Linked DNA regions of Callithrix jacchus. The protein of the gene in region 1 interacts with the protein of each later gene in a pairwise test. Links are inferred from orthologs where the notes say so. Each region holds a gene or a part of one and is shown in the gene's direction. Other genes may lie near its edges.

Region 1 (3,465 bases):
CAGAATTTTTCTAGGCATTAGGGATACAGCAGGTAGCAAAGGCAGTGTTTCTTTGACACATATATTGCAAAATAGAAGCAGATGATGAGCAAAGTGCTATTTGACATGTTGGCCAGTAGCACAGTAAATGTTATGTAGATAAATGAAGCAGAGTCAAGGGTTAGAGATTGGTGGCAGAGAACAGGGTTCTCTGATAGGTCCGGTGGCCAGAAAAGTTCTCTTTGAAAGCAGTAGGTGAAGGAGTCAGGCAGCCAACTGGGACAAGTCTTGCAAGGCAGAAGGGGTAGAAGGTGCAAAGGCTACAAAGCCAGAACTACTTGACGTGTGTGAGAATCAGCAAGGACAGTGATTAGAGCATAGCAGAAAATGGGAAGAGGCATAGGATAGAAGGAAGGGCTTTGTAGACCTTGGCTGCAACTTTGCTCTTTATTCTGAGATGAAACTTGGATGATTTTGAGCAAGGGAGTGAAGGGATCTAATTTTTGTTTTAAATGATTCCCGTGGCTACTTTATGGAGAATATACTATAGGTAGAAAAAAGCGAAAGCTAAGTGATTAGTTGCAGCAGTGTGTGAGAAAGAAAGGCTGGGTGGGGATCAGGGTGGCAGTGGTAGAAATGGCAAGACATGATTGAATTGGCAATATATTTGAAAGCAGAGCCAATAATTCATGATAGCTCTAGGATCAGAGATCCATTTAAAGTAGAAAAAGAAAATTATTTATAAACACTCACATCTTCACAGTTCATTTTTAAGTAGAGAATAATACCCAGTGGCCAATGGCACTAGTAGCAGAACAAGAAATAGAGAATAAAATGTGTGGGATGCCTGCAATTGGTTATCGGATGCTGATTTTGCAGAACTTTTTATATCTTGCTATTTAGGTTTTTTTTTTTTTTAAGGTAGGTATATCATATTATTTCCCAATTAAATAAGTCACTGTTTAAATACTGCCTTTTTCATGAAAGGCAGGACCCCCTGAGGGTCTTCATGACCCTGAAAGGAAGTGTGACTTCCACAGTGCAGCCAGCAGTGTCAATACTTCGCTAAGTGAGATTTAAACAAGAAAGAAAATGTGTTAATAAAACATCGCGCCAAGAGAATTTAGTGGCCACAGACCCACGAAGGAACACTGAGTTGTGCGAGTTGGCTAGGTAGAAGAGTGGTTAATCTTTTCAGCTTGAACAAGTGTACCTTCTCTGAGACCGGATTCAGCGCTCGCCAGGTCCTCTGCTAATTCAGGCCCCACATCCAGGAGCTCTGACAGCCGACCGCAGCCTTTAACTGCCCGCCTAGAGGGCTACGACAAGCCGGTGGTTCAGCAACCCAGCGCATCCTAGTCCTAGCCAAGCCCTGTGTGTCTACACTCTTCCCATCCCGGCCACGCCCCCACGCTTCCGCGGCCCCTCGCCTGGCCACGCCCCTCCCGCGCCGCGCCGGCGCACCGTCCGTCCGAAAGGCCGCGTGGGCGGGGCTTGCGTAGCCTCCCGGACTCCGGCGCGCACCGCACCGCCCCCCCGCCCCCCGCCCCTGGCCCTCGCGCGCCTTGGTGGACAAGCACTTCCTGCGAGGCCTCCGTACGCACCTTGTCCGAGCCGAGCCGCACCGAGCCGCACCGAGCCGAGCCCTGTACTTCCAAGCCGTTCGCCATGGTGGATGAGCTGGTGCTGCTGCTGCATGCGCTCCTGATGCGGCACCGCGCCCTGAGCATCGAGAACAGCCAGCTCATGGAACAGCTGCGGCTGCTGGTGTGCGAGAGGGCCAGCCTGCTGCGCCAGGTACGTCCGCCAAGCTGCCCGGTGCCCTTCCCCGAAACGTTTAATGGCGAGAGTTCCCGGCTCCCCGAGTTTATCGTGCAGACGGCGTCTTACATGCTCGTGAACGAGAACCGATTCTGCAACGACGCCATGAAGGTGGCATTCCTAATCAGCCTCCTCACCGGGGAAGCCGAGGAGTGGGTGGTGCCCTACATCGAGATGGATAGCCCCATCCTAGGTGATTACCGGGCCTTCCTCGATGAGATGAAACAGTGCTTTGGCTGGGATGACGATGAAGACGACGACGACGACGAAGAGGATGATTACTAGGCCTTAGACCCTCAGGCCTAGCGGGGAGGGCCCTGCACGCCGCCACCCCCTCTCTCCAGCCCTCACCCCGCCGGGAGCCACTGTTCTCCGCCTTGCCCTCTGGTCCCCTTCCCTACTCGCGCCCTTCAGTTCTCTCTCTTCGTTTCTCCGTAGTGCTTGTCTTTGTTCCAGGAATAGTGCTCCATTTACCTGCTGCTGGGGTTGGGGCTGAAGCCTCACTCACTCGGAAATGCTTGGAAGTGTCATCTACCCTGGCCAGCCCCTGAATCCCTCCCCTGCTAATCCGAACTGTGTCCTGAGCCCCAGTTATTGGCCATGCCCCCATTATAAATTGGTCATACCACCCATAGCCCTGCTGCTGCCACCTACCCTACTGCCAGGCTTACATCTGCCCAGAGAACTATGCTGCCACTTCACATCCACTCACCACATCCCACCTACATACTACCGCCTTTCGAAGTAAGGACCAACCTGGAAGATGCCAGAGTTGGCTATACCTCTTCGGACATTGATTCGGACAGCTCACCAACCCATGAAGGGGCCAATCATTCAGCCTGGTTAGTTTTCTACCCACTCTGAGGGTCCTCCCATGCCCCACCAGATTGCTGCAGGGGCTTGGTGTGCCTGGCAGCCAAATTGTTGACATTTCTTTTTTCCTATGCATTGGTTTTACACAGCTGTCACTTTACTTTCAAAATTGCAGCAGTCCCCCAGATGTGTGCATTTGGACAAATAATACTAAGAACAAAGCAAGCACTCAGCCCAGCTCCTCAATACTACCTGGAAAAAGCATTGGCATTATTTTCAATAAATATCAAGCACTACAAAAAAAAGAAATGATTGTCTTTTAATGGTTAAGTGCTGTCACTGGCCTCCAACACTGTCACTCTGTCTACCATTATTCCCATGGAAATCAGGGTTCCCCGCTGTCATCTCCAGGCTGTTGGCGACAGCTACCTCAGGGCTCTGTCAGTGTTCTGATGTTCCCTTCACCAATGTATTTCATAAAGCCCTGGCAAAGGGTATGTCCTCTGGTTCCTCCAGAATGGCATGGGTAAGGCTTGGCTGAGCAGATGGCAAAGAGGCAGTATTAATAATTAGACCATAACAACAGTCATAAACCTGGAAGAGGGGGGAGAGAGAGAGAGAGAGATGTAATGCTCCCAATTATCTGAGCTTTCAGATTCCTTAACACTGTACCAGGGAAGTTCTGCCCCTTAATCCTTATTGCCTATGTGTAGCTGCTGAGTTCAGGCTCCAAATAGCCAACATAGTATATTGCTTTTATGTCACTCTCAGATGCTCCAGCTAACATTAAATCCTGGATCCTGGGCACGTGTACCCATAAAGATAAACCCTGATCTTAACAAATATTTCTGC
Region 2 (4,305 bases), on another chromosome or scaffold:
GCCTGGCGTGGTGGCACATGCCTATAATCCCAGCTACTCGAGAGGCTGAGGCTGGAGAATTGCTTGAACCCAGGAGGCAGAGGCTGCAGTGAGCTGAGACCGCACCTTTGCACTCCAGCCTGGGTGGCAGAGAGAGACTCCGTCTCAAAAACAAACAAAAAAGCCTCTTGGCCACTTGTTCTGTGCCTTGTGCAAGAACCCTTCCAGCCCAGGAGTCACTTAGTAGTCTTCAAACATTCTACTTTGCTTTTCTAGAGTTTCGGTTACATTTCTTTTTTCTTTTTCATTTTTTTTTTCTTTTTTGAGATAGAGTTTCGCTCTTGTTGGCCAGGCTAGAGTGCAATGGTGCAATCTTGGCTCACCCTGACCTCTGCCTCCTGGGTTCAAGCGATTCTTCTGCCTCGGCCTCCCAAGTAGCTGGGATTACAGGCATGCGCCACCACGCCCAGCTAATTTTGTATTTTTATTAGAGACAGGGTTTCAGTATGTTGGCCAGGCTGGTCTTGAACTCCCGACCTCAGGTGATCCGTGTGCCTCAGCCTCCCAAAGTGCTGGGATTCACATTTCTATCCTAAGCAAAGTCTATATAATTACCGAGTTGCAAAAAATCATCTTTCCAAACTCCAAAACGGAGATAGGAGCGAATATAAAAGATATGAAAGAGGCAGGCATTCCTGGGTCAATCACTCCGATATTGTAGGGTTGGGATCCCCAGGGTACTATGATGGCTAATTGGAACAGAATGCAGACATTTCTCCAAAGCCCCATCATTCATAAAAGCAAATTAGATATGATTCAGTGGATTCATGAGGAGCCACCAGTTGCTTTACCGACTACTAACTTTGCAGAAATGAAACAAGGTACTTGTTTGGGTCAAGGTTCAATGAGGCTGGTTTTTACAACATTCCAGGCAATAAACAGGGACGCCCATTCATTGATAAATGTTGACACTGACAGGTGGTGACCGCTGATAAGGTTTGACTCCCATTCAGAAAGTTAGTTTGACCTCTTTCCAAGTAACCACGGCCTTACCCCTCCCTTTTGAGCTTATCATAATTGGTGATTGTACAGTTGTTTCATAGGCTTCCCCACCAGACTGTGAGCTCTATAGGGCTGGGCCCAAGATCGGTTCCATCACCAGGCTCTCTCGCCTAACTCGGCCCACGGGAGGCGGCTTCCAGCTGCTCTGGATCCATTGTTCAGCTGGCAGCGGCCACCAGGTACCCTGATTTACTTGGCCCCGCCCTCCAAGGGCCTTACTTCCGGGATTCTTCAGACAAGAGCAAGAAACATGGTCACATTTGACGTCCCGCGCCTGCGCACGCTCCGTCTTGCGCCTGCGCATTCCTGACAACTCCCGGACCGGACATAACGGTCCCCGCGCGGCTCTCCGAACCGGAAGTGGAGGCGAGCTGTCGCGGGCCGCGCCCGGCCTCGCTCAACGCCCGGTAGTCGCTGCCGCCGCCCTTGGCCGCTGCGGAGGCTTCCTGCAGCCACCATGTCCGCCAGCGCCGTCTACGTGCTGGACCTGAAGGGCAAGGTACTGAGGGCTCCCCACCCTCCCCGTTGCCCGGCAACCGGCGGGGTCCTCCTCCCCGCGGGGATCCACCCTGTTGCTAGGTAACCGGCCTGTGAGCCACCCTGGTGTGACGCTAGGAGGGCGGGAGATTCACACCCTGTTTCTTTCTGGGTAATTGGGCGGGGGTCTGCAGTGCCTCTGCCCCGCTCTGTTGCTAGGTAACGCGGTGGGCTACCGCCACCGCATTGCCAGGTAACCGACTGCCGCGACCCCTACTATCAGGCGCAGGGACCAGGGGCTCTGGCCTCGGTGGAGGACCCGGAAGTGGGGCCGCAGCCGGCCCGGGAGCCAGGCAGGGCGTCCAGGGGATGCACGACCCTTGGCCAGGGGTGGCGAGGCGTGGCGGGGACTGGGTTCCCTCAAGCCAGTCCCGCCTTCTCAGGGCGTTGCAGCTTCTGTTTACCGTGCACTTTCTCTCAGTAGAAATTTCTCCACGTTCATTGTGATACTGACTTAAAAGGGTTAGGTGAGGTGGGTGGTGATCACAAGTGTCATTTTATAGAGGGAGAAACTGAGGCACGGAGAGGTGAAGCAGCCTGACCAAGGTCACACTGGTCACAGAGAAGTAGCAAGTCTAGGAGTCCGATCCAGAATCATTTGTTCATTCAGCTGATATCTAGGGAGCACTACTAATGCTGGGCAGGGTACTACCTGGGGTTGATTTGTGTTTAGCAAAAAACAGTCCCCCCTCTTTCTTTTCTTTTTTTTTTTGAGATAGTGTCAGTTGTCCAGTCTGGAGTGCAGTGGTGCAGTCTCCACTCACTGCAACCTCCACCTTCTGGGTTCAAGCAATTCTCCTGCCTCACCCTTCAGAGTAGCTGGGATTACAGGTGTCCACCACCACACCCAGCTAAATTTTATATTTTTAGTAGAGATGGGGTGTCATCATGTTGACGAGGCTGGTTGGTCTCGAACTCTTGACCTCAAGCGATTTATCTGTCTCGGCCTTCCAAGGTGCTGGGATTACAGGGATGAGTCACTGTGCTAGGGCTCAACAATCCATATTCTTATGGCATTCACAGACTGATGGGGAGATGGTTACCGATCTCCAAAAACACAAATAAATGTCAATTGCAGTGGTGGGGCAGGGTGAGTGTGTAATAGGGACAGTCAGTCTCAGCTAGAGAATGAGAGAGGGTTTCCCTGAGCAGAGGTGACAAATGGACCTGAGACACTAGCAAGCTGGACATAAACTAGAACCTGGGCATCTTCCCCAGAGGATCTAAGAAAATTTAAAGGCAGGATTGTCCCCGCATTTTTGAAATGGGCCTCTGCCTTCTCCCCAGTCCATCCCAGGTGCACGGCAAGTGGCTGCTTGGCCTATTGTGTGTGGAAGCAACAAGAACCAGTCCAACAATGTTAGCCCAACATTGATCAGTGAGAGAAACAAACGTGGGTGTCAGGTCCTAGGTGAGAGGTGGGCAAGAGTGAGCTCTGAAGCCGCTGGGAGTGAAGAGGTGAAGTGGCTGCCACACCACCCCAGCACTTTCCTGAAGTCCCTTGAGTAGGTGCCTGCCCTGGAAGCACCCATAGTCAACACCTAGTGAGACCCAGTGCTGGCCTTCCTTCTCCCGCCTTCTTAGAGGCACGCCAGAGGCTGGGTGGGTGTGGTGTTCCCTGAGCCCTGGTGGCATGAGTCTTGCTTCTGCCCTGGCCACTGCCTCTCCAGCCGTGCCAGCAGGCTGCCTGTCTTGGCTTGCTTATGCCTTCAGCAAACATTTCATGAGCACCTAGCATGCACCCCGTCCTGTGCCAGGCATAGGGTATCCATTGGCACCATGGATGTTGGTGTTAGGGCTGAGCTGAAAACCCGTCTCTGCTGCTCAGCTGGGACAAGCCTCTTCTCTCTGAGCCTCGCTTTTCTCACTGGTCAAAAGAGGCTTTTTTTTTTGGACGGAGTTTCGGTCTTGTCGCCCAGGGAGCGCAATGGTGCAATCTCAGCTCACTGCAACCTTCGCCTCTCAGGTTTAAGTGATTCTCCTGCCTCAGCCCCCCAAGTAGCTGGGATTACAGGCACCGTCACCACACTCAGCTAATTTTTTGTATTTTTAGTAGAGAGAGGGTTTCTCCATGTTGGCCAAGCTGGTCTCGAACTCCTGACCTCAGGTGATCTATCCACGTTGGCCTCCCAAAGTGATGGGATTATAGATGTGAGCCACTGCGCCTGGCCAAAAGAGGCTTTTATGGACTTACTGTGCAGATTTGCTGAGCAGATGCATGAGACAGGCTCAGCACCACTCCTGGTCCATGTTAGCCTTCCCAGGCCTCTCTGTCTAGCAGGGGAGTCACCTCCAGGCAGCCACAGGGGCAGGACCAAGGTCCTAAGTACTGCAGTTGCTCAACCTTATCTTTAGCCAGTGGACGGCGGAGGTGGTTACAAAAGGCCCCCTGGAACAGGGCGATGCTGGAGGGGGTTTGGACGGTGACCACGTCAGGTGGAAAAGAGGCATTGCAAGGGACACAAGAGGCAGCCGCTGGGGCTGCCAAGCCAGAAGTCCTGACTAATGCTGAGCTGGGAGAGAGAGCCCATGGGGACCACTTCAGTTCCAAGAAGGAGCAGCCACTGTGAGGAGACCGTAGCCCAGAGAGGCATGATCAGACCTGCCCTTCAGGAAGCTCCCCAAGGCAGTTGTGGGCTTCCCTCCCTTCCTCTGCAACCAAGACGCCCTTTCTTATTCCACAACCCACGGACCTCATGTTTCCAAAGTCAGCCTTGTGAGCCCACT
Region 3 (4,277 bases), on another chromosome or scaffold:
TTTTTTTACACAACCCAGCTGGTAAATTGGGGCTGCTTCTGTTATTATTCTACAAGTCCTTAAAGAGTTCTTAAATAGGCCGGCCGCGGTGGTTCACATCTGTAATCCCAGCACTTTGGGAGGCCGAGGCGGGCGGATCATCAGAGGTCAGGAGTTCAAAACCAGCCTGAGCAACATGGTGAAACTTCGCCTCTACTAAAAACACAAAAATTACCAGGTTGTGGGAGGCCGGAGTGGGTGGATCCCTTGACCCCAGCCAACTCGGTAAAACCGCCTCTACTAAAAATACAAAAATCAGCAGGGCGTGGTGGCGGGTGCTTGTAATCCCAGCTACTCAGAAGGCTGAGACACAAGAATTACTTGAACCCGAGAGGTGGAGACTGCAGTAAGCCGAGATCGCGCCACTGCACTCCAGCCTGGGTGACAGAACAAGACCCTGTCTCGGTGGGGCGCGGTGGCTCACGTCTATAATCCCAGCACTTTAGGAGGCCGAGGTGGGTGGATCACGAGGTCAAGCGATCGAGACCATCCTGGTCAACAAGGTGAAACCCTGTCTCTACTAAAAATACAAAAATTAGCTGGGCATGGTGGTGCGCGCCTGTAGTCCCAGCTACTCGGGAGGCTGAGGCAGGAGAATTGCTTGAACCCAGAAGGCAGAGGCTGGAGATCGTGCCATTGAACTCCAGTCTGGGTAACAGCGAAACTCTGCCTCAAAAAAAAAAAAACCCTGTCTCAAAATAATAATTACCTAGAAACTTAAATGCAAACACTTTCCAGCCAGGAATATATTTTAATAGGTAGTTTCCAACTACCAGTGGAAGAACCTGAAAGCCTAGAAGTGGAGTTTTGGGATTTCGGGCAGGCAATGTCTCAGGCACCTTGGGGGATTTTTTTTTTTTTTTTTTTTTTTTTGGTCACTGGATTAAATCAGCACCACCTGCCCTGTGTGACACCAAATACCGCACCACAGCTCACACTGGCCTCATCAACTGACCTAATCAGATACTATTACCAAGATTTTTACTCCATCTAACTCTACTTTTTCTGAGCTTTCAACAAGCCAAACGGCAACTCACTGGCGCCTCAGTTTCTTATTAATTATGCTGTTCTTGGCTTCTAACCAACCTAACACGTGGAACCTTTCATTAGAACCTTCCTCACCGCAGGGTCCGCCGGTCCTACCAGCAAAGCCCAAAAGAAGCAAAATTTCCCGCCAAAGGCGGTTTCCAATTTCTGCGACGTAGAGGACCCGAGGGCAGCCGAAGAGCAGGCGCAGAAACAGACGCAACTTCCTAGCTGTGGGCGCTCATAGGTCCTCCACCGTCCCACAATCCTCTCGTTACATATTTCCGGTTTATCTAGCCCAGCCGTAAGCGGTTTCGCTATCAGTCGAGCAGCTGTGTTCGTGAACGTAGGTGGAAGGGATCGCTTCTCTTCGTTGACGTTGTTGGTGTTCACTGTTTGGAATTAGTCAAGTTTCGGGAATCACCGTCGCTGCCATCAACATGTCGGTCCCAAGCGCTCTCATGAAGCAACCGCCCATTCAGTCTACGGCTGGGGCCGTCCCGGTTCGCAATGAGAAAGGTACGGTGCTGACAACCCTCTTCCCAGCCGAATTTTACTCTTTCGGCCCCAGCAACCTCCAGATCTCTCCCAGGTCTGGAGAGGTCTGTCTCTCCCAGACAGACCACTTCTATCCCGCCAGCTCTCAAGATTTGGCTCCCAAATTCTTCGACCTTTCCACCCCCACCCACTCGCATCCGATCTTCTTCCTGTGGCCTGCTCTCATATTCAGCAAGCACCCCTTAGCCTACACAAATTCCTTAGACTAATATGTACATTATATATATTACATATATAAAAGTACTTAATAGTTACTTAGGAATTTAACTATATATCAGAATATAGATGTCTAATATCCTGGAATATATGTATTAGTCTAATATTAGAATATAATATCACTACATATTACTAGAATATATGTATTAGTCTACTTAGGAACTTAAGTATATATATATTAATCTAATAATTAGGGACTTAAGTATATATCAGAATATAAATATATAATATCAGACTAGATAGATATGTAGGTAGGTAGATACATAGACAGAGAGAATGCCTATTTGCTGGGCATTGTGCGGGATATAGTCCCTCTTTTGCTGTCCATAGAAGACTGCTTATGCTGCCCAGATTGGACTCGACGTCCTGGACTCCGGCTGTCCTCCTGCCTCAGCCTCCCAGGTAGACACCACCGTGTCTAGCCTCAACATGGATTTTGGGAATTATCTTTGAATCCCTATAGATATTTATTCATCTGAACTGCTTATGAATTCCATTGTGTACACTGTAACCAGCCAGAGGCGGTGGCTCACGCCTGTAATCCCAGCACTTTGGGAGGCCAAGGCAGGTGGATCCCAAGGTCAAGAAATGGAGATTATCCTGGCCGACATGGTGAAACCCCGACTCTACTAAAAATACAGAAATTAGCTGGGCATGGTGGTGTGCACCTGTACAGTCCCAGCTACTTGGGACGCTGAGGCAGGAGAATTGCTTGGACCTGGGAGGCGGAGGTTGCAGTGAGCCGTGATCGCGCCACTTCACTCCAGCCTGGCAACAAAGCGAGACTCGGTCTCAAAAAAAATAAATTAATTAATTAAATAAACTGTAACCCACAGTTTATTCCCTCCTGAGGGGCAGGTAGTTGTCCCATTGCTGTTTTTTTCCCCCTGTTAAAAAAGTGCTGCGGCTGGGCACTGTGGCTCACACCTCTGAGGTGGCGGATCACCTGAGGCTAGGAGTTCCAGACCAGCCTAGCCAACGTGGCGAAACCCCATCTCTACTAAAATACAAAAAATTAGCAAGGCGTGGTGGCAGGCACCTGTAATCCAGCTACAAGTTCAAGTTCTGCAGTTGTTGTTCTTTAGCCAATTCAGCTTTAATACCTCTCCAAAGTGAGTTGTAAAAATGTAAGAATTTGGCCGGGCGTGGTGGCTCATGCCTGTAATCCCAGCACTTTGGGAGGCCAGGGTGGACGAATCATGAGGACAAGAGATCAAAACCATCCTGCTAACATGGTGAAACTCCCTTGAACCCGGGAGGCAGAGGTTGCAGTGAGCTGAGATCGCACCACTGCACTCCAGCCTGGCAACAGAGCAAGACTGTTTCAAAAAACAAAAACAAAAAAGAATATAAGAATTTGTGGAGCACATTGGCTCACACCTGTAATCCCTCACTTCAGCAAGCTGAGGCAGGAGGATCACTAGAGGCCAGGAGTTCAAGACCAGCTTGGGCAACATAGCAAGACTCTCATTTCTACAAAAAAATTTAAAATTAGCTGGATGTAGTGATGTGTTCCTGCTACTTTGGGGAAGCCAAAGCAGGAGAATCACTTAATGCCCGGAAGTTCAAAGCTGCAGTGAGCTATGATTGTGCCGTTATACTCCAGCCTGTGCAACACCTTGAGACCCTGTCTCTTCAAAACAAGGCCGGGCGCAGTGGCTCACGCCTGTAATCCCAGCACTTTGAGAGGCCGAGGCGGATGGATCACAAGGTCAAGAGATCGAGACCATCCTGGTCAACATGGTGAAACCCCGTCTCTACTAAAAAATACAAAAAAAATTAGCTGGGCATGGTCGCGTGTGCCTGTAATCCCAGCTACTCGGGAGTTTGAGGCAGGAGAATTGCCTGAACCCAGGAGGCGGAGGTTACGGTGAGCCGAGATCACGCCATTGCACTCCAGCCTGGGTAACAAAAGCAAAACTCTGTCTCAAAGGCTGGGTGTGGTGACTCGCAGCTGTAATCCAAGCACTTTGGGAGGATGAGGCGGAAGGATCACGAAGTCAGGAGTTCAAGAGTAGCCTGGCCAACATGGTGAAATCCCATCTCTGCTAAAAATACAAAAATTAGCTGGGTGTGGTGGCTAAACCTAGAGAGCGTATTAGACACATGAACAAGATGCCCAGCATCACTAGTAATCAGGGGAATGCAAATTAGAATAACAAGATGCCATTTCACACCTGTTCCACCTGTTAGATTGGGCAAAAATGTAAAAATCTGATACAACCAAGTGTGTAAATGATGAATATATGGGAAATAAAGCTCTGAGGTTCTCAAAGTTTTTTTGTTGTTTTTTTTTTACATGGAGTCTCACTCTGTGCAGAATTGCGATCTTAGCTCACTACAACCTCTGCCTCCTGGGTTCAAGCAGTTCTCTGCCTCAGTCTCCCGAGTAGCTGGGATTACAGGCGCCCGCCACTACACCCAGCTAATTTTTGTAT

What was found.
Region 2: the proteins of LDOC1 (region 1) and AP1M1 interact in binary tests that used the Homo sapiens proteins (3 or more experiments, as listed by UniProt). The two-hybrid records come from large-scale screens. The link is inferred for Callithrix jacchus from reciprocal best matches to the Homo sapiens genes LDOC1 and AP1M1.
Region 3: the proteins of LDOC1 (region 1) and MFAP1 interact in binary tests that used the Homo sapiens proteins (3 or more experiments, as listed by UniProt). The two-hybrid records come from large-scale screens. The link is inferred for Callithrix jacchus from reciprocal best matches to the Homo sapiens genes LDOC1 and MFAP1.

The regions. Positions count from the first base shown.
Region 1 is NC_133524.1:138,057,598-138,061,062, forward strand, and holds LDOC1 (protein LDOC1), read left to right. Parts: upstream 1-1,517; 5' UTR 1,518-1,647; coding exon 1,648-2,085; 3' UTR 2,086-2,922; downstream 2,923-3,465. UniProt on the Homo sapiens protein: May have an important role in the development and/or progression of some cancers.
Region 2 is NC_133523.1:14,819,250-14,823,554, forward strand, and holds the start of AP1M1 (AP-1 complex subunit mu-1), read left to right. Parts: upstream 1-1,397; 5' UTR 1,398-1,498; coding exon 1,499-1,540; intron 1,541-4,305. UniProt on the Homo sapiens protein: Subunit of clathrin-associated adaptor protein complex 1 that plays a role in protein sorting in the trans-Golgi network (TGN) and endosomes.
Region 3 is NC_133509.1:31,484,382-31,488,658, reverse strand, and holds the start of MFAP1 (microfibrillar-associated protein 1), read left to right. Parts: upstream 1-1,369; 5' UTR 1,370-1,505; coding exon 1,506-1,584; intron 1,585-4,277. UniProt on the Homo sapiens protein: Involved in pre-mRNA splicing as a component of the spliceosome.